Arabidopsis thaliana: one gene and its partners. The protein of the gene in region 1 interacts with the protein of each later gene in a biochemical or structural test. Each region holds a gene or a part of one and is shown on either strand. Other genes may lie near its edges.

Region 1 (7,553 bases):
GCGATTGATCCATCTCATGGAGGATGCAAAGTTATGCTTTCGAACGTTTATGCAGACGCAGGGAGATGGGAAGATGTAGCTTTGGTTAGAGAAGAGATGCGAACGAGAGATGTTGAGTGGTCACGTGCCTTCAGTGGTGTTGTGTGAATTGTATTTAGTCTCGTAGTGGGCTTATTGTATGGGCCTATTAGAAACGAGTTAGGTTCGTGTTTTTATTGGGTCCTACCAAAGCAGAGCTGGCTATTTATTGCCCAAACGAAAGCGCGTGAATTTTTATAATCTTTATTTTCTCAACGAAAATTAATCATAAGAAATACATAATTTGACCCAAATTTTTAAGTAATATTAAAATAAATAATTTGAATTTTTCATTTGAGAAAAGTCAAATTATTTCTTTTTAATATTATTATCTTTTGAAATATCGTTATTTAATGTCTCACTTTGTAAGTCATTATATGATTTAGTAGTATGATCTGAAGATATTTGTAATCAAATGTATTTAAAAGTCTTTGAGATTGATCAAGCCTTGGGGTTTAAAATGCTAAAAGAAAAATAAAGAATCTTCAAGTTTGGCCCCTTTTAAATATGATTCATTACTGTGTTAAATAATACATTCTTTATGAATCATTCAAAGAATTACCTATTTATTAATGCTGAAAAGGAACAATCATTAGAGAAGTTAACAAAAGAAAAGATAATTATTAGTCCACACTATTAGTTTTTGGTATTTTATGATCCCTAATAATAAAAGTCATGTGATGCACATGGACTGAAGCATTTCCACGGTTCTTCGTGACCCTTCGTTCTTCCCTTGGTTTCCTTTGGGTTTGTTTATTAACTAATTAATAATTATTTCATTTCAAAAGCTATAGTATCTTATTTTAAAAAATATAGTATCATATTATCAGAAAATGAACAAATAATTTTGCTTCTATTTATTATTTAAATTAGTACGAATAACTAAGACTGTCTTTTGGTAAAATTATTATTTGATCTCGTTACAATAATTTCTGTGTAATCATATTTAGTTGTCAATTGTCATAGGCTCATGATACATTTTCAAGTAAGAAACAAATTAAAGAGAACATTTTGCTATTAATATAAGTATAAAAATCAGAATATTTAAAAAACTGTAAATTTTTTTTTTTTTTTTGAGAAAATATGCAATACATGTATGATGAATTGTTGGTCAAATGGGTGTTAAGAGCAGAATGATAAGATTGTTGTTGTGATTCTTAATAAAAATGATAATACTATGTTAATGGATCCACAAAAATACCGATGATTAAGAGTATTCTCTTAGTATACACACTACAAGAAAATAGGCGATTTGCGAGGGAAATTTGCGGTGGAAAACATCCCTCGCAATTTGCTACGGATTTGCAAGTGTATTACGAGGGAAGAAGAGAACTTCGCGAATCCCTCGCAAAATTTGCGACGAATATATCCCTCGCAAATCTGCGAGACGTTTGCGAGAAGTCTGCGTGGACCGCACCAATCCCAGCAAACTCGTCGCAAAATTGCGAGGGAGTTACGGGTAAACAGAATTCCTCGCAAATTGCGAGACGTTTGCGAGTAATATACGTGGAAAGCATCAATCCTCGCAAACTCATCGCAAAATTGCGAGGGATTTACGAGTAACCAAAATCCCTCGCAAATTGCGACGAGTTTGCGAGGATCGATTATTCTGTCGCAACTTTTGCGACAGAGTAGCGAGTCTTGGCGGGTTAGGTGAACATGTTTTTAATTATCTTACCAGTCTGGTTGGTAGGTGGGATTCCCTCGCAAATTTCAAGCAAAATCCTAGCAAATCCCTCGCAAATGCCTTGCAAATCCCTCGCAATTTTTTTTTGGGACATCTATAAATAGCCAATGAAATGTGTAAGAAATCATAACTCAAATCACAACATTTACTTACAAACAAAAAAAAATATTTTTTTTAAAAAAAAACTTATTACAAAAATAAGAATGTCTTGGGGCGGAGAGCATGAGATTTACACATTACGAAGTTGGATGTATAATCATAGAGATCAAGCGACCGGGGAGGTGACGAGAGAGTATTACGACGGACTGCGCGGTTTCATGTATCAAGCGACAAACGAACCATTTGTTCGTGAGAACGGTACAATATTCTGTTCATGTCGTAAGTGTCTCAATGAGAAATATTTGGAATTTAATGTAGTGAAGAAGCATCTTTATAATAGAGGATTTATGCCAAACTACTATGTATGGTTACGTCATGGAGATGGTTGTAGAGATAGCGCAGGAACTAGTAATACAAATTGTGGTGTCGAGCAACCTAGTAATTTTAATAATGATGCGAATTATGGTCAGGAAGTACCTGATCAATTTGGTTATGGGCATAACTAGGAAAATAGATTTCATGATATGGTTACAGATGCATTTCATGAAACTATTGCTTCATTTCCTGAAAATATTAGTGAAGAACCCAACCTAGATGCTCAACATTTTTACGATATGTTAGATGCTGTAAATCAACCACTCTACGAGGGATGTAGAGAAGGACATTCTAAGTTATCTTTGGCATCTAGGATGATGACTATTAAAGCTGATAATAACTTAAGTGAAAACTCTATGGATTCATGGACAGAATTAATTAAGGAATATGTTGTGTCTTTGTGTTTTTGGCCTGATTCAGTTGTGTTGTTGGTCTGAATAATATCATTGTATTTTCGGCCTAAGAGTTTTGCATTATGTCTATATGTTTCGACTTTGCTTTGATCATGTTTGCTTGTTTTGGTTATGAGTTTGTGACAGGTTGCTCCTAAGAAGAAAGGCAGGATTTATGGGGCTGGTTCATTGCAGCATGAGGCGTCTTCGGCGCATGCCGGACCGGTGCTTCCTCGAGATGATCCGGTTGTGCTTTCCCAGAAGCTGGCTGCTGTTGAAGCCCTCATTGCAAACCAGGCTGAGAAGATCACCAGTTTTGACGCATACTTTGATTACCTTGCCAAGAAGGATCCAGAGTTTGCTGCCTTGTTTCGAGTCAGATCCTCTTCAAGAACTGAACCAGTCAGCTCCAATCCACCTGATGCGCCTAATGCCACAACTGCTGGGATCGGACCTGAAGCTGTCGAACCTGAGGCTGTTGTAGCTAACCCAAACACTGGGTCATCTCCATCTGAGGCTTTCTAACATTCTGTATTAAGTTTCTTTTTCACTCATCAAAACTTGAATCTTTTGTTGGTTTGTTATGTAAAATTATTTGGCCTTCTAACATTCTGTATTCAGTTTCTTTTTCTGTACTTGAAACCTAAAATTTCAGCTTTTAAATATGAGTTTAAGGTTTCTTAATTAGTATTCAACTTCAAAGTTTAGTATAAAAATCCAATTAAGATAACCATTAAATATTGTTAAGTAGAACAGTAATCCCTATATTCAACAGTAATCATGCTTAAAACAAAACAGAAAAGAGTCGCTTATTTACCGCGAATCCATCGCAAACTTTACTACGGATTTGCGACTACAGATAAAAGCCACGCAAATCCATCGCAAATTTTGCGAGGCATTAGCGGGACAAAGAATTTGCGACTACTTTGCTACTGAAGTATTCCCTCGCAACTTGCGAGGAAAGAGCGAGGCTACTGTTGCAGCTAATATGCTACCGAGTACGTCCCTCGCAAATTGCGTGTGCTTCGCGAGTCTGGTCGTCCGTCGCAACTAGCGAGAAACTTGCGAGACCCGAAATTTGCTGTGAATTTGCTACGGATTGCTTCCCTTGCAAATTGCGTGTGTTTTGCGAGGCAACTTGTTCCTCGCAACATTTGCGAGGAACTTGCTACGAATTTGATTTTACGACGCGCGTTTTGCGAGGAACTGGAGTTCGTCGCAATTCCCTCGCTAAATGCTTTTTGCGAGAGACTAGCGACGGTTTCTTCCCTCGCAACTGGCGTGTTTTCTTGTAGTGACATCTACTTGAAGATTTAAAGCTTCGCTTTATTTATACGTTTGAAATCGATGCAAATGCAATTTTTCCAACCATGCAAAAGTTTACGCATGCAAGCACCTACAGTTATGAAGCAATTTCAAAGAACCCACCAAAGACAGAAGATATTAGATACGAAATACATATTTCAAATAAAATACTAGATTGACGATTGCATATATAAGTTTTTGTAAGTTTCTTGTACCATTGTACATAACTCATAAATATTGTCTCTAGATAATTAAGTATGTCTTATCGGTCAAATTCTATATCTTAAAAATAAGTAAGATTACTCATTAACTGCATACGAAAAAAAATTTAAACCACTCATTTCAATCGGATTCGAAATATAGGATAATCCACTTCATTTATATGTCTTTAACAACGACTATGACACGAAAGAAAATTATAAAGTAAACGAACTATTTATTATTGTAATAATTATAAGTCATCACTAATCCATAATAAATCGGATATCTATTCATTAAGAAGAGCATATATTAAAATAGTTTATACAAAAATATCCACACTGTATTATATTCGACGTTTGGACATTATCCAAAAGCTAGATTTAAGACAAAAGTCGCAAGTACCCATAAACCTTGGGGGGCAAATTGGAGTTTTCGTACAACGATAATCAGACTCCACTTATCCGCTTTTTTCAATTATCACAATAAAAGAAACGAATAATAATAATATTTTAATAATTTGTTCTGTTCTGTTCTTCATCTCATAGATCTCTCCTCTCTACACTTTCTTCTACAAAAGTGAGCAAATAAACTTGCCTCTTCGTCTGCTTCGTGAGATTTCAGATCCTGTAAAGAAATTTTATTAGCTCAAAAGAATCATTTTTGGGTTTCTGAACCATAAAAGCTTCTCTCGACTTTCAAAAACTCTCTCCTTTTTCCTTTTAGCCATTTCAAGCAGAGAGATTGATCGAAGAAGATAAAAACCTCGTCTTTCTTCAATCTCAGTGATTCTCAAATTACCCATCGCTTCCTTCTTTTGATCTCTTTGATTTCACTTCAAAAAGCAAAGAAATCTCGATTAGGTTATTCCTTGTTTCACCCCATAAATTTGCCTCCTTTTTTTTGGTCTCGGGAACTACTCTGATTTGTTTCAATCGATTCTGGATTTCGGGATTTGGATATAGAGCTCTCTGTTTTTGACATTGCCTTTGGAACTAAAATTCTCAGTCTTTGCATTTTTTTGATTCAAAAGCTCACTAAGTTTGGGTTTCAGAAGCTATTACATTTGGTCTTCGTAAGCGTCCTTTGAATGCCCTGTAGCTGAAGATGCAGCCTGATCACCGCAAAAAGGTCCAATTTTTCAATCTCTTATGTATCAGATTTGCTTATTAGAACTGATTAGGATCTGTAGCAATCCTTTTTACTGTTACTGCCTTTTAGTTTAGTCCTAATCTTTCTCTGTATTGAAGCTTTTGATATTGACAATAGATTTTTCTGTATATTCAGTCATCAGTTGAGGTAGATTTCTTCACGGAATATGGTGAAGGAAGCAGATACAGAATAGAGGAAGTGATTGGTAAAGGAAGTTATGGAGTTGTCTGTTCTGCTTACGATACACATACCGGAGAGAAAGTTGCGATTAAGAAAATCAATGATATCTTTGAGCATGTTTCGGATGCAACTCGCATTCTTCGTGAGATCAAACTTCTTAGACTCTTACGCCATCCTGACATTGTTGAGATCAAACACATCTTGTTGCCGCCTTCAAGAAGAGAGTTTCGAGACATTTACGTGGTTTTCGAGCTTATGGAATCTGATTTGCATCAGGTTATTAAGGCAAATGATGATTTGACTCCTGAGCATTATCAGTTTTTCCTCTATCAGCTTCTTCGTGGCCTCAAGTATATACACACAGGTTAAGCTAGCGAGCAATAAAATTTCATTGATTAGTATAAGTTTATGATTATCTTTCTGAAAATACTTTTTTTTTCTCTTCCTTTCAGCTAATGTCTTTCATCGGGATCTTAAACCCAAAAACATATTGGCAAATGCTGATTGCAAACTCAAGATCTGTGATTTTGGACTTGCAAGAGTCGCATTCAATGATACACCGACTGCGATATTCTGGACTGTGAGTAGTAGTAATTTAAATGCTTACTCTTTACAAGTTTACTCTTTTTGGTATGAAACCAATTTTTTATTCCTACTGCTTTCTGATCGCAGGATTATGTAGCTACTCGATGGTACAGGGCTCCAGAACTATGTGGATCTTTTTTCTCAAAGGTGACCATGATTTTGTATATATACTTTCATCGAATGTTTCAAATTTTCATAGGGAATCTAGTCAGTAGACACTATAGCTCTCTCATTCAGATTATAAAATTTTATGGTAACATTTTTTTTCTTTATCTATGCTTCTGTTCAGTATACACCGGCAATAGATATATGGAGCATCGGGTGCATTTTTGCAGAACTCTTAACAGGGAAACCTCTTTTCCCCGGGAAAAATGTGGTCCATCAATTGGATCTGATGACGGATATGCTGGGAACTCCATCTGCTGAAGCCATTGGAAGGGTATGTGTTCCTTTCCACAATGCTTAAGCATTGTTTCTTTTTTTGGCTGAATTTCTTACACTGAAACAGGTTAGGAACGAGAAAGCTCGAAGATACTTGAGCAGCATGAGGAAGAAGAAGCCTATTCCTTTTTCACATAAGTTCCCACATACTGATCCTCTTGCTCTTCGTCTTCTAGAAAAGATGTTGTCTTTTGAACCCAAGGACCGGCCTACAGCTGAAGAGGTGGTTCATACATTTCGTTCTTTACACTCCTTATGATGTAACTTTGGTTATAGCTAACTAAATGGTTTTATGTGTTACCTCAGGCGCTTGCAGATGTGTACTTCAAGGGTTTAGCTAAGGTTGAAAGAGAGCCTTCTGCTCAACCTGTCACAAAGTTGGAATTTGAGTTTGAAAGGCGGAGGATCACAAAAGAAGACGTCCGAGAGCTCATATACAGAGAGTCTCTGGAGTACCACCCAAAGATGCTGAAAGAATACTTGGATGGATCAGAGCCAACTAACTTTATGTACCCGAGGTACCGGCCTGAGCTGACCTGCTTCATACTATACTCCTGTGTATTATCCATGTTCTTATGGTTAATGTATTATTCATTCTGCAGTGCGGTGGAACATTTCAAGAAACAATTTGCTTACCTCGAGGAACACTACAAGAATGGTACTTCTCATAATCCCCCTGAGAGGCAACAGCATGCATCATTACCAAGGTATGCTTTACGTCCTTTAAAAATTTGATCATTTGGGATTCTTTCGAAACAGCTCAACAAAGCCTCTTTTTATGTTTTGCAGGGCTTGCGTATTGTACTCTGATAACAATCATCCGGTGGCACAACAGAGTTCAGCTGAAGTCACTGATGGACTCTCCAAGTGTAGCATTAGAGACGAGAGACCTCGGGGTGCAGACAGGAATGCCCAGATGCCAATGTCGAGAATTCCTATCAACGTCCCTCAAACAATCCAAGGTCTCTCACCCTCTCTGTATATAATGTTATGATGCAGAATAACTCTGTCTCCTGAACATTTATCTGGTTGTAATGAAGCAGGTGCTGCAGTAGCTAGGC
Region 2 (7,190 bases), 9.7 Mb from region 1:
TTAATATTCGTTGTGCCAATTTTCTTCAGAAAAGAAATCAGGAAGTAGAGAGTAGAGACGCATTCTGTTCACACTTCACTCTCAACTTAGAAACAATTATGCGTCAAAACTCAAAACTAGTAAAAAGCATATCAAAATACAATTTCGAAGTAATTGCCTTCGTATTTGGTTTGATTCATGTTTTAAATTTTCGTATACACTAACTTTGTATTTATAGCAAATAAGAATAACCAATTTTCTTTAAAAACGTTTATTTTATATGCAACCTTACTCATTTTTCTTTGTTAGATTTTCGCTATGCATACATGGACCATGGTTGATTGTTGCATGTATGTATACTATACTAACGAATGTAATTTTGATGATCTCATCTTGGGCCGAAGCCAATGCAACTATTTTTGTGTTGAAATTCCATTGAATCTTAAAGCCTATAAATACTTTTTAAGTCGTGTCTAGCTCACAATCAAAAAGCAAAGTCTCACTTAGAAACCAGATTCTAAAAATATTTTGTAAATGTTTGTCCATCTCAATATCAAAAACATTATCTCCAAAACGAAATGTGAAAATAATGTCAAATGTTTTACGATATAATCTTTAATTCATAGATATTTCCTAATCTAAAAATGCATAGTAATTTGGTAAACGCGTTTTGTTTTCAATCTTTAATTCATAGATATTTCATATTTAGCAAAAACAACGAATGTATTATGCGTAGTGACTAGTGAGAAATCAGAAATATATAAAATTAGCTTTTAGTTATGTTATCTATGGATGATTAATGAAAAGTTTTGGTCTATTAGCTGAGTATAGGTTAACAACAACAATCATATGATACATAGAGCTACTTCTTACCTCTCTCATTGCAATACATAAACAATAAGCCTTGTCCAAATTCGGCAGCTTTATCATCATATTGTGTACACCATAACAAGGATCAGAGGTTGGGTTGATACAAAAATGCTCTTAAAAGTAACCATAGCTCGGAAGCAAAGATCACTTGCAAGTGCAAAATGGTGCACCATATAAAATCCACAGTAACTACATCTACGGTGGCCACGTCTCAAACTACATGAAGCTGTTGGGGGAATATGAGCCAGAGAAGTTACAAACTCTCTTCAGTGCTTACATTAAGAAAGGAGTTGAAGCTGAGAGCATCGAGGAGATGTACAAGAAGGTTCACGCAGCTATCCGAGCAGAACCCAACCATAAGAAAACCGAGAAACCAGCTACCAAGGAACACAAGAGGTAAAACAAATAATCATTACTGGCTTTAATCTTCTTGTTGTGATTGGTGTGTCTCACTTGGTTCTTGATTGATTGTGATATCAAACAAAACAGGTACGACTTGAAGAAACTGACGTACGAAGAGAGGAAGAACAAGTTGATCGAGAGAGTTAAGGCATTGAACGGAGCATCTGGTGACTGGTGATGACATGAAGATGCAGAGTAAATCACCTTTCCAGCTTGTTTGTCTCACGCCTTTACTTATGTGTGTTTCAGACTAAAACAGTCAGTTTTTGTTTTCAAATTTTAGTTGCGTTGGAAGATTTTAAATTCGAGGATATTTTTTGTTTGAAGAATTTATTATTGTTCTCTTATTACACCATCATAATTTTCAGAGATGAGAGTGAACATTAGTGATGGAGATAGTATACAAGTTACACACTAGTCAAAAATGATTTACTTGCCCTACTTTGTGATACAATTCTAATTGGATGTTACTAATAGGCAAGCTTCTCTTACTTTACTACATGTTTCATCACCACAATTGTTTGATTGCTTTGCTTGTTTCTGCTACTTGCTACTGTATTGCTTGTTGTTTTGAGTTTCGTCGATGTGCCTCAATTTAACATGTTAGTTAAAGATTGCTCGAGTTTTTATATCATATATATGTAATAACTAAACCGAAAATACAAGTTGTAACTTTAAAACTCAGAACGAAATCTCTACAGATTAACAAGCGTACTCAAAAATAAAAATTAACAAGTGAATCAAGACTCAAGAAAACAGCTTCACTATCTCTGTTCCGCTACTTCACCATTGATCATAGCCATAGAGTTCATGCTGCATCAACTGATTCAACCAGGGGTTATTCACAGATTCTTGTTCTGTGTTTGAGACGCTGTTGAAAGCTGTTGTTAATGATGTTGCCCATAGACATGTTTTGATCACACCCATAAAGTTCATGCTGCATCAACCCAAAATTAGTCACAGATTCTTGAACCGCTTCTTTGTTTGAGACTTGAAAATTGTTGTTGGTAAAGCACATGTTCTGCTCATAACCACAAAGCTCCTGCTGCATTAACTCAGATTGTCGTTGGTTATTGACAGATCCTTCTACCGCCGAGTAATGTTGTGCCTTTGAGACGCAAGGATGTTGAAAGCTGTTGCTATTGATGTTACCCATACACATGTTTTGATCACAACCATATAACTCCTTCAGCATCAACTGATTCATCCCAAAGTAGTTCACAGATTCTTGTACCGCTTCTTTCTTTGAGAAGTAAGGAAGTTGAAAATTGTTGTTGGTGATGTCACCCATCCTCATGTTCTGATTCTGATCATAACCATCCTGCTTCATTAACTGATTCTTCAACTCAGATTGTTCAAGTAACGCTGAGAAATAATTCTGATTGAAATTTGATGCAGAGACTGAGATCTGAGACAGAGTATTGTCTCCATGGTTATACATAAACAGCGAAAACTGTCTAGGGTTCAAAGATTGGGTCTGATGATTCAAAGAGGATGGTGTTAAACTCTGATGATCCGGTTTTGTCTGTTTCTGCGACTCAAGAAATCGAAGCCTTTCTTGGAATTTAGAGACATGGAGTTTTAAGGACTGAGTCAGTTGAGAAACTTGGTCGGGAGGGTAATGATCAGCGAGTGGATACTTTAAAACATTCACGTTCTTCTTAAGACAAGTCTTCCTCTTATTGTTCGGATTCTTCAAACCCTTCTTCTTCTTCTTCTTCTTCTTGTTCAGGAACCCATGAAGATTAACGCTTTTCTTGCTTCTCAAGGCTTCGTTTAATTGACTATACCTCAGAGCAATGTCTCTCACTTTCTCTTTCTCCTTAGGCCATGTCTTAAGTTCTCCGTCTGGTCCGTAATAGATGACGCACGCTTCGATATCACAGAGAGTGCAAAGCTCTGAAGCTTTCTTGAATATAGTCTCAAGTCTGTTACTCAAACTTGTGGAAGCGAGTGAATAAGAAGAAGAGGAAAAAGGTAATGATCGCATAGTCATCTTCTTGTTGGTTTCGAAGACAAACTCTCTGTTTTTTTCACGTTCAAAGTTAAGAGAAAGCACGAAGGCGAAGAAGAATAAAATTGAGAGAGTGAAACTAATGTATTAGGTTTGGAGAGTAAAATCATATATTTATAGATGTAGAAGTAAAGATTTGGTTTTCATAACCACTCACGCTCATCGGTAAGAAAAGGAAATACGAGTATAGATTTGATTTCCGTATTTTATAGATTTAATAAAAAGAAATTTTCACTGGATGAAAAAAGAATTGCTCTCATGGTTTGTCAAAGTGAGATATGGTTTTTACCGTTTGTCTTTTCAGTTGTTTTCAGACTAAAATACCCTTAATGGGAGCAACCAAATCACACAGCACTTGATTTCGGTTTAGTTTTTCTGGTTTTGTTTTGAAACTTAATGGTTTACCCTTAATGGTTTTGTGATTTTGGTTTATCCTTAATGGTTCAGTTTTGAAAAAAACAAAAAAAAAACACTGAAACAAAGAAACAAAGAAGAAGAAAAAGAGAAAGAGACGGAGTAATTCGAGAGAGAAGTAGAAAGAAGTTCAAAATTCATTATCCACTCCTTCATATTTCGACATCTCTCCATTGAACTCCAAAATTGAGGAACAAATTTCTTGTTTTCAGAGATGAACAAAATGCAAAAAAAAAGCTCCTAGATACAAACACTTTAGCTTTTTAAACTAAAGATACTCTAAGTTTACAAGATTTATTTATAAATAGTAATCAAAACGTAAAAAAATGAGATTTTGAGAAAACTGATAAAGACGGCCGCAAAATTAGGTTTGCAGAAAAGGATACACAGGTTGAAGATGACTGGAAAATTACAATTATACCCTTCATCGAATTTTTTCTGTGTACGTACACGAAATTATTTATGGAACATATATGAGACGATTTCTAATAATTCAAACTATTTTATTACGTATTCTTATATCTCAATAATCTCAATACATACATAATAATTAAATAAAAATAGATGGTGAAATAATGTACGTACATTTTTGTTGGTAAATTAATGTATGTACATGTGTAATAATATACGTACATCTTTGTTTGTGAATGAAATTATTAAGAAAAATTTATTAATACAATATTAAACCAATATTGGCAGTGGCTGAGATAAGACATTGTTTGTTGTATGATTTTTCTGTTCTTAAAAACACTTCCCAATCTATAGTGTAGGTACATTGGTACAAACCATGTTGACACATACTTCTTCGAGTCACAACTGGTGTACGGTCACCCGAGTGAGAAATGTTATCTCCGCCAGGTACACGCTGACTTGTGTACGTACACTCTGCCAACAGACGACTGAATTCCCCTGGTGTGAGAATGACGTTCTCGTCAACATTCCCTATTCCATATTCTTCTACAATTACATCGTTCCACTTGTTGTAATCATAATCTTCGCCACTACTTTCACTACCATCAATAGTAGGATCGAGGGTACTTCCCCCTATAGATCCATCGTCACCCTGATAATCATCATACCCACCACCATCTTTGTTGTCCCCCTCCTCTTCATCCTCATTTGTTTTATCGTCTTCATCGTCGTCTTTCTCATCTACGGCCTCATTATTTTCATCAACATTTGAAACACTATCACATACACGGTCACTTTCAGCATCATCACCATGAGTCCTAGAGACATTATTATCGGGTGTCTTGACGGTTGTAATGAAAGAGACAAACAAATTGAGAGAAGGATACCGACCACGAATTAAAAAGAACGTATCCAACCCCACTTGACTGTCAATGTAGACAGGAGGGCGTTTAGTATCTATCAGCACTAACATCTCTCCCGGCATCCAGTAACTAATTATGGGATTGATCTCTATGGATTTCAAACTGAAAGCCTCGCTTAGTGTACGTACAAATTCTGTGTACGTCCTGTTTTCCTTAACACGTACACAGCGACCAAACATGTCTTCCTTTGGTTCAAATTTCCATTTTTCTTATTTGCATCTCCACTCACCGACCATAGTAAATACGGGAATATCCATTACCCAACTGCATCATAAATTCAGGAGAAACCCATTAAATGCAACTGAAAACATGATTGTACACACTTATAAACATATATATTTACACATTTAGCATTTTCAACCAACAAAATTGGAAATAAAATTTTTTTGGGTTTTTCTATAAAAAAACAAAGTTGATTTCGAATACAATGAAGATCATAGCGTGTTATAACAAAAAAAATCTTTAAAACTTCATTACTTACACGATAATGCTTATCTTGGCTCCAAACTTCGTAAATAAACAAGATCAACACTTCTTGAGCATCAATGTACGTTCGCAATTAATGTTTGTTCCTGGGTTCATCTTTAACTCAACAATTATTATCAATAATTTTATAATATAATAACATGTAATGATGATTTTGCATTAATTATAACAAGAGTCACGTCTAAACTTTTTGGGCCATTAAATGTTGATGTCATTTCGTTTATAATGAAAAAATCTCCCTTCTAACTGTAAAGCGCGCTCCTCAACGTGAAACAAAAATATCTCTAACTAAACCGGAACAGTGTACCTAACTAAACCTGACTAACTAAACCATACATTCAACAATTTCTCATCTGTAGCAGCAAGGGCAAAATGGTCAAATTTCAGTTGAAAAGACAAAACGTGAAAACCACCTTTCACTTTTGCAATCCCTGAAAATAAAACATGGTCAAAGGGTGTGCCCTGCAAATTACCCTTTAATAAAATCCATTGATATCAATCGAGATTACAAAGTTATTATACAAAACTATAAAAAAAACATGTAAACAATATCCCATTAGGATTGGTTCGTTTGAGTTTTAATTAATTTCGAATGACAAAAAAAACTATAAAAAAAACAAATTATTACATAAGCATATATTTGTGTCCTACTGTATGATGAGAACGATATACAAAAGAAGAGAATTTGACGATACTTTCCGTAGATAAGCCTTATTCGCTAACAGATTAGTGAATCTATTTTTTTTCTTCTCTATATTTGATGCCATATAATGAGAAAAATACACAAAAGAAGAGAATTGGGTGAACGACCTGTGTCCCCCTCGGAAGTTTCATATAGCATTAGAACTACACAGAATTCCAACCTCGATCTTGGTCCACACAAATAGAAAGTTCTAATCCTATTTCTCCCTAAATTGAAAGTTCGAAACCTCAAAACACATAAACGTTTTTTTAATTGGTTTATAACGACCTGTGTGTTTGAGGTTTCTAACTTTCAAATTAGGGGAAATAGGACTAGAACTTTCCATTTATGTGGACCAAGATTGAGGTTGAAATTCGGTGTAGGTCTAGTGTTATATGAAACTTCCGAAGGGCACACAGGTCGTTCACCCAAGAGAATTTGACGATGTTTTTCGTAGATAAAACTTATTCGCTAACAGATTAGTAAATCCATTATTTTCCTTCTCTATGTTTGATCTCCCTCTAATGCGAATTGTGAAATTTATATAACTAGATTTGTATGATATGTTATTGAACTTTTGACAAATAATGAATAACGAAACAATCACTCTAGTAACACCAAATTTAGTTAAAATTATATTTGCAAATTAAAGTAATAATAGCAACAATTAACAAACGTATTACCAACTAATTTACCCTAGCATAAATTTCTATTGGTTGCTGTCAAAAAATTTAAAATATATATAGTGGTTAGGAAGACATATAATCTCTGGTTTACACGAAATTAGGATTTGGTTCGAATTCGGTTTTTGGGTTTAACGAGAGAGTAAACCAGATTCCGCCGGAGGTGCAAATTTAAATTTTAAAACCAAAATCCGAATTCGAACCAAATCCCAAAGTGTAAACCAGATTATAATCGCCAGAGTTTCCAAAAGTCTCTCCGTTTTATCGGAGTCTCAGAATCGGATTCCCGGCGATGATGGTGGAATTGGATCATTTAAGGTTCGTTG
Region 3 (7,553 bases), on another chromosome or scaffold:
AACATTGGTATGCTCTTTTACTTCTTTGAATAATGAATGAAAAATGGATTTGGACTTAAGATTCCCATTTAAAGGCATTAAGGTTATTCGGTTTGGTTGAACTAAGAGTGGTTATGGTTTGGTATAAACTGTTTGGTTTGATAGTAGAGTATGGTTTAGGTTTGTGGAATGGTGTGGTTTACTTGTTTGGCCTTGTTGTATTTGCAGGTGGGAAGAGGAGCTTCAGTGGAGACAAAACGACGGAGCTGTGAAGTTTATTAACGTTGATGCTCTTTTATTTCTGATGAACACGATGTGAAAAAAGATAATTGTTTTGAGCCGTTCTATCTTTTCTGACTCTAGAAGTAAAGACTATGCCATTGTTGTCGAAACCCGATCATTCCAATGAAAGGCTTCACCAAAAAATCTACCATAACAATAGTCGAAATTTGTATTGTCAAAAACAATTTCCAACACCAAGGTTGTTGTACTTGTATTATTTAAAATATAAATTAAAACATGGTAAATAAATTAAATAAAACTTTTTTATGTGGTCACTTTGGTGGCTTCGGTACATGCGGTGGCCTCTTGTGGTGGGGTAGACAAACTCTAAGTATAGTGCATTCACAAACTTTAACTTTTCCCTTCAAATTACAATTTGCTCCACCATAACCTTCGTTGTTACAACTCGTTCGGCACCTCCTAGCACCGTCTACCTTATTACACGTCTCTGGCGGTGCTTTGCTTGGATAATCATCACACAATTCCCAATTCATTGCTTTTCCTAATACAATAATTCGATCAATTACAAGTATTTATATCGTATTGATTATATATGCATATTTTTGTTTTTTTTCAATGAAAATATATTTGGTAGAAGATTTAATATTATTTACGATTTTATCTCCTTGTAGTGATTTATTTTACAGCTAAATTACAATTTTGACAAATTTCCTTAATTTTTTTTTTAAATGAGTATAAGAAGTTCCATTTTTTCAATATTTGTATATCTTGTAATTTATAAACCAAAAGTTTAACCGCAAATAACACCTTTTTTTTTTGTTGCATTAAGCATCTATCATTATAAATCAAACTTTTAGACATTTTGTTTTTCCTTTTATAAGTTTTTATTTTTCTTTGTTAATAGAGTGTTTTATGAATAATAAATCTAAGTGTCATATTGCTATATATCAGGAATTATTATTTCTAAAAATAGAAGAAGAAATGAGAGATAATCCGTAAAAAATGCCTATGAAATTGTTTAATGAAAAGAAACATTCATTATTAATTTATATCATAATTCTCTTTTTTCATATAACTTTGATATGTTTCTTTATTAAAAATATGTTATTTAAACGTAATAATTACCTACATGATATTATGCATTATACACTGGATGTACAAACTGCGAATAAGTATTGGAATATGAGAGGTATTATTAAGTAAACTAGGTTTGGATGAAGTGACTAGTGAGGATGGTTGGGAGATCTTGCAATGAAAGTTTGTGATCATGGGCTCATGTTTCCAGGGAATGTACAAGCAGGAGTGGATTGATAAGAGATTGATCCATTTTGAAAATTATACAAGTCATTTAACAAAAGCTACATATGGAGGAGATTAAAAGACTAATTAATGATAATGTAAAATAACTCTGATATATTCTTTATTCTCTTCTCTTTTCTTGTAAGTTCTACTTATTTCCCATTTGAATCCTGGTGCTTCAACTTTCAAGTAAAGCTCTAGTCTTTGCTTCTCTTCATCTCTCATGATCAAGTTTGACTCGAGTCCGTTGCAGAATCAAGTTTAGCTCAGATCTTTCATGATGCTGTAGATGAAGACTAAACACCCTTCTGAGTCTTATCATGTTTCCATTTTTTGTTGCAGCTCTTCTTATTGACTTAGGTTTGATACCTCAAGCACCAAGACTCTTCATTCTTCAGAAAACAGTGTATTGAGGATCAAAGTAATGTGTTAAGCTTCGGTTTTGACTTCAAATAAACTATTATAAGCGGTTAGACCTCTTCTCAATGCATACCACACAGCTGAATGCAAAACAGAACGGCTTGTTTTCACAGTCATTTAAGCAACTCCCACACTCATGGCAACGTTCTATGCAGACAACGCAAGCTCTGCAAGATGACTTAGAATAAGGATATTGACCCTTCAATGGACATGTATCTGCTGGACAATCAAATACCAGACTTGGTTTCTCACACCAGGGGCATATCTCGAGGTCAGTAACTCGATCATCCTCTAAATAGAATTCTGATCTACAAGACGTATAGAATCTCTTCTTCCTCTCTTGTAAACCCACTTTAGCATCTCCTCCTAGCAATAAGTTGAGCTCTTTAAACTGCTCCTTTGTGAAATACAACGCCCCACCAGTGATTAGGCTTTTGACTCCAAGACGGTTTGAAGATTTTAAGTCCCTTAAAGTTGACACTAGTCCTGCTGTGCTTAGTCTAAGACAACCAGATACACTCAGCTGCAAAAAAACAGACACACATGAACAAACAACACAGAATCATATAACAAGATTGGTTCCATCATTCGATCAAACTAACCTTAGTAAGATGTGGATTGCTAGCAAGAACTTGCTTCAAGCCATAATCAGTGATACCAACACATCCTCCAAGATTCAAACATCGAACACCGCCTAGAGCACGGCGTGTTAACTTCAAAAGAGACTCATCAGTAACTCTATATTGAAGAAATGAGTCATTAAGATCAATACTTGTCCAGAAAAAAGGTTCCTTTCCAACCGAATCACGCAAAGACCTACAAACTACTTCAACCGCAAGAATCTCTTTCAACTCTAGATATGGAAGAACCAACTCAAACGCGTCATGAGCTTCACCACCACCACCACCATCATCATCATCATCACCATCATCATCATCATTATTATAAAACCAACTTAGAGTCTCGAACAACATCTGATCAACAACACCAATTTCTTTCTGATTCTCATGAAACCAATCAGAGATTGTGTTCAAAGTCGATCTAACTCTCATACAAAACGGATCCTCAGGCAAAGTATGATCTTCTGAGACTAAACCAATCTGATTCTCATGAAACCAATCTGAGATTGAATTCAAAGTCGATCTAATGTTCATACAAAAAGGATCATCAGGCAAACCCACAAAATCATCCCCAAATTCGCCTAAACCCAATTCTAATTTTCTGTAATCGTTATAAGAACCTCGAAGCCTTTCGTAATTAACCTCCATTAACGAATCTCTCAATGAATTAAGGAAATCGAAATCTGAAACAGATCCAATGAAATAAATATATAAAAAAACGGCGAGAGAATGAATGAATGAATGAATGAATGAGAAGGAACGGGATCGCGTAATCAGCGGGAAAAAGGAAAGAGAAAGGATTCGAGAGGAAGAGGAAGAAGAAGAAGAAGGAATCAGAGAAAGAGTTTCAATTGCAAAGAAGATGACTTTTTTTAGGGCTTTTACTCTGTTGCGATTTTGGCGCGTGTCTAACTATAACTTCTAATTTAATAAGAACAAATAATTAATGAGTTTTTTTTCTTCTTTTTAAATTCTAATTAATGATTACGTCTCTAAATTAGATATTTTCATTCACTCTTTTTTTTTTCTTTATAAGTCAGATCTTCTAATTTATAATCTTTTCAAATTTGCAGGATCTTCTATTTTTTTGGGTTATTAGTTTTATTCCTTGTCCATAATCCTATTGATTAACTATTGTATTAAGTAATTTGCCATTTTGTGAACAAAAATTAAGAAGTTATTTACTTATTATAGATTTTGCACTTTTTAATAAAGGAATTTTTGTTAAAGGGCAAGATTTGATAATTTAATTAAGTGAATGACTTCTTGATTGTTGTTAAATAATTATACTTTTATTTTAAATATTTATGAATATACTTTTATTTTAAAATTTGGTATTTTCGTGAGTAAATAAATTAACTAGAACCAATGGAAGCAGCTTATTAAATGATGTTTAACTTTGTACCCTTAAATTAACTAGAACCCTTAAACAGTTAAACATCACTAGATTTTGACCCGCGGTATACCGCGGGGCTAGGTTTTTAATAAAATTTGTTATATAAAATGTATATGTAAATATTTGTTTTATTAATATTGTTTGCTTTGTTTAGTGTTTAAGATAATGTATATATAGATTTTAGTTGTTATATCTAGGATTTCATCCGTAGTATATCGTTTCGTATTATTATCGATCAAAACTCGTCATACCATCTAATCCTGCATATTGAAATTAAACATATCTAATAGATTTCACTTGTGGTATACCGTCTCGTAATACTATCGACCAAACCCTTCCTACCACAAACCCCGTTCAGTAAAATTAGACATTATTTTGTTATTTTTGTTTTAATAATACTTTAGTTTAAAAAATATTTAATTCAAATCAATTTAAAAGTTTTTTTTCAAATGGTTATTTAATTATTATAAAGTTTATATATTATAATATTATAAACACGTCCTACCATCTAGTCCTACTATCTAATCATGTTCGGTGAAATTATTTTTTTATTTTTTTTAATAATATTTTTATTAAAAAATTTATAATTTAAATCAATTTAAAGTTTTCTTTCAAATGGTTATTTAATTTTTAAATATTTTAACTATTTTGACAAAAATAATTAGGCCATGAAATAAAAGCATATTCTTTTGAATAAGATTTGCTTTGATTTGGTAGTTAATTTTTGCATTTAATAAGTCAGTGGCAGCCATTGTAAATAAGTTCTAATTGCAGGATTTATTTCACAAAATGGCTGCAAAAATGTATATATAGATTTGCGGTCAAAAAAGTTAAACATCATTTAAAATGAAAGAGAATGAAACAGTCGTAATGTGTTTTAATTTTTTTTTTTTTTTTTTTTCGTCGTGTTTTAATTTATTTTAGTAAGTATTATTGCCAATTTCTTAATTAAAATTCTATCTAGTTCAATTTCTCTTTTAATAACAAGAGCAGTTATTCTGTGTGTATACGTCGAATTCATGAGATTCAATCCTCTATTAAGCAGAATAAGATCTCTTAATTTAATTAGCTTTTCCACAAAGCTGTTTTGCATTATGTAAAAAAAGAAAACAAGGGACTAGTACAACAAAAACTACAAGGCATAAACAAACAATGTCCTAGTGAAGATCACTAGTATACATAAGATTCACTTAAACAAACTCCAAACTGGTGAAGAGTTTTTATTCAGCAAGCAAGGAAAAAAAAGAAAAAAAACCCTCTTATTTTGTGTGTACTCATCATCATCATCTCTATGATTATACCATTTACAATGTAGGAGGGATCCAAATGTAGCCATGAGTCTGCATATAACCAGCTTTCTTAAGTAGCTGATCTGCTTCCGCTGGGCCACGGCTACCTTGTTTGTATGGGACCGATTTCACTTCTCCCTTGTCGATCCTGTGAAGCAGTGGAGTGAAGATTTCCCAAGCTGCCTGTTTTGTGATTGATCACATACATATATGTGTTTAAAGATCTTCTCAATATATGGTAAAAATCAGATTGTGGAAGTTTCAAACAAAGTTGAGTGATGTGAAGTATCCAGGGGTTCTAAGTGGTGAAGTAGAAAGGTAAAATTACCTTTAATTCGTCTCTGCGAACAAAGTGTTGTTGGTCGCCTCTGATTCTGCAGAGAGATACACAATAAGGGTCAACTAATGAGATGAATGAAGGTTTTGATATACAGAACTATTGTTACTAGATTCTTACGTGTCAAGAATAAGGCGTTCGTAAGCCTCTGGAATTGAGACATCTTGGTAACGCTGCTTGTACGATAGGTCTAGTTCACTCTGCACGGTTTGCATCTCCAGACCCGGTTGCTTCACCTGCGCAGCAAAGCCAAAAACTTCAGATTGAATGAATAAATGAATGAACAAAAGTGAGTCTCTCCTTTTTTCTTATAGTATCGTAGATTATGGTTGGTTCATCAGGTACTTACAGTTAGCTTCATGTACATGGCCTCTGAAGGCTGCAAGCGTATAACAAACTCGTTCCTCCCTTGGTTTTGACCTGTTGCATTGCATGAGAGGTTAGACCAACCAAATTTCAAGTATTTGGGAAGGTTTGATTTGGTCTCGATACAAACATTTGAATATGTCGCCAGGAACATCTTTAAACTGAATGCGAATATCTGCCTTCTTTGAACTCATTGCCTTTCCGGCCTTCAGTATAAAAGGAACACCTGAGAGATACATCAATACACAAGTTACTAACCACTACAACTAAAAAGGGATTTTGGCACATGATGTTCCAAACTTGATCTAGAAAATGAAAAGATGAAGAGTGAAGGGGACACATGCACACAGTACCTTCCCATCTTTCATTGTTAATGCGAAGAATTGTTGTGGCAAACGTTGGAGTGTTTGAGTCATTTGGAACAGTTGGATCATCTCTATATCCTTCATATTGTCCAAGAACCACCTCTTCATCTTTTATGGGAATCACAGATTGAAGAACCTGAAGTTCATTTAAGAAATCAGTCAGTTGTTATTAATATTAATTGGCTGAAAATGCAAATGAAGATATCACTTGATTCTACAAAAGTTTGAAACTAAAGATGTGATCAAGAAAACTGTAATCACCTTCACTTTCTCATCCCGGATGTGCTCGGGTTTAAGAGAGATTGGTTTCTCCATGGCGACAAGGCAAAGAACCTGTGGTACACTAAACTTAGTTAATACATAAAAGTATCTGCAGTTACAAGCAAGGAAAAACAAGGAAAAATGTCATATGGAGGTGGCTTTCAACAAGGAAATTTCATGTTTTTCTTCACAACAGACAAATATTTCAAATGTAAACACTTGCCTGGAGCAAGTGGTTTTGAATAATATCACGAATGATTCTGAAAAATAGAAGATTATATATACAAGTCATCAGAATGCAATGATACTTCTGTCTCATGTATATCATATTCAAATGAAACACTGAGAAAAGCTTACCCGTATTCATCAAAATATCCACCGCGACCTTCAGTTCCAAAATCTTCTCTGAAAACGATCTGCAAAAAGAAATTAGAGATTTATGTGGATGGATTCAACTCTATACAAAAGTTTAGAAATATTTGTGCTAAGCGATCAAACTCTCACCTGTACGTTTGCAATATTGTCGCGGTTCCATAGTGGCAAAAACAAGCGATTGGCAAACCGAAGAACCAACTGCACTAACGATGAATGCGTTAGATTATATCTTTATTTGTCTAAATTAATAAACTAATGACTAGAAGCAAATATGTGTTACCATGTTTTGAACTAACTCTTTTCCCAGATAGTGATCAATACGATAAATCTGTGGTTCTTCAAACAAGGCTCCAATCTGAGAACTCAGCTGCTCTGCAGATTCCAAATCCTTTCCAAATGGTTTCTCAACAACAATCCTAGTCCATCCACCAAGATCAGCTGGAAACAATATACATTTCCAATGAAGTTATTACCAAATATTCTCTATCTAATAATGTTAACAAAATCTAACAGTAAACTCACATTTGTTAGTGCACCATGCCTTGATCATCTTGCTTACAGGAGGGTATACAGACGGAGGAAGTGCAAGATAAAACAATCTCC

The links.
Region 2: of the proteins of MPK16 (region 1) and AGL76, one has a biochemical effect on the other in vitro, tested with the Arabidopsis thaliana proteins (one large-scale study listed by BioGRID).
Region 3: of the proteins of MPK16 (region 1) and AT3G27290, one has a biochemical effect on the other in vitro, tested with the Arabidopsis thaliana proteins (one large-scale study listed by BioGRID).

Annotation. Positions count from the first base shown.
Region 1 is NC_003076.8:6,345,365-6,352,917, reverse strand, and holds the start of MPK16 (mitogen-activated protein kinase 16), read left to right. Parts: upstream 1-4,650; 5' UTR 4,651-5,241; coding exon 5,242-5,265; intron 5,266-5,421; coding exon 5,422-5,830; intron 5,831-5,918; coding exon 5,919-6,046; intron 6,047-6,138; coding exon 6,139-6,198; intron 6,199-6,340; coding exon 6,341-6,490; intron 6,491-6,559; coding exon 6,560-6,715; intron 6,716-6,798; coding exon 6,799-7,010; intron 7,011-7,094; coding exon 7,095-7,199; intron 7,200-7,281; coding exon 7,282-7,454; intron 7,455-7,535; coding exon 7,536-7,553. Other genes in the region: MEF18 (mitochondrial editing factor 18), read left to right, coding at 1-147.
Region 2 is NC_003076.8:16,047,936-16,055,125, reverse strand, and holds AGL76 (AGAMOUS-like 76), read right to left. Parts: upstream 3,248-7,190; coding exon 2,090-3,247; downstream 1-2,089.
Region 3 is NC_003074.8:10,078,057-10,085,609, forward strand, and holds AT3G27290 (RNI-like superfamily protein), read right to left. Parts: upstream 3,478-7,553; 5' UTR 3,210-3,477; coding exon 2,544-3,209; intron 2,465-2,543; coding exon 1,982-2,464; 3' UTR 1,406-1,981; downstream 1-1,405. Other genes in the region: G6PD5 (glucose-6-phosphate dehydrogenase 5), read right to left, coding at 5,262-5,429, 5,575-5,620, 5,704-5,819, 5,933-6,003, 6,080-6,175, 6,303-6,450, 6,576-6,647, 6,799-6,835 and 4 more.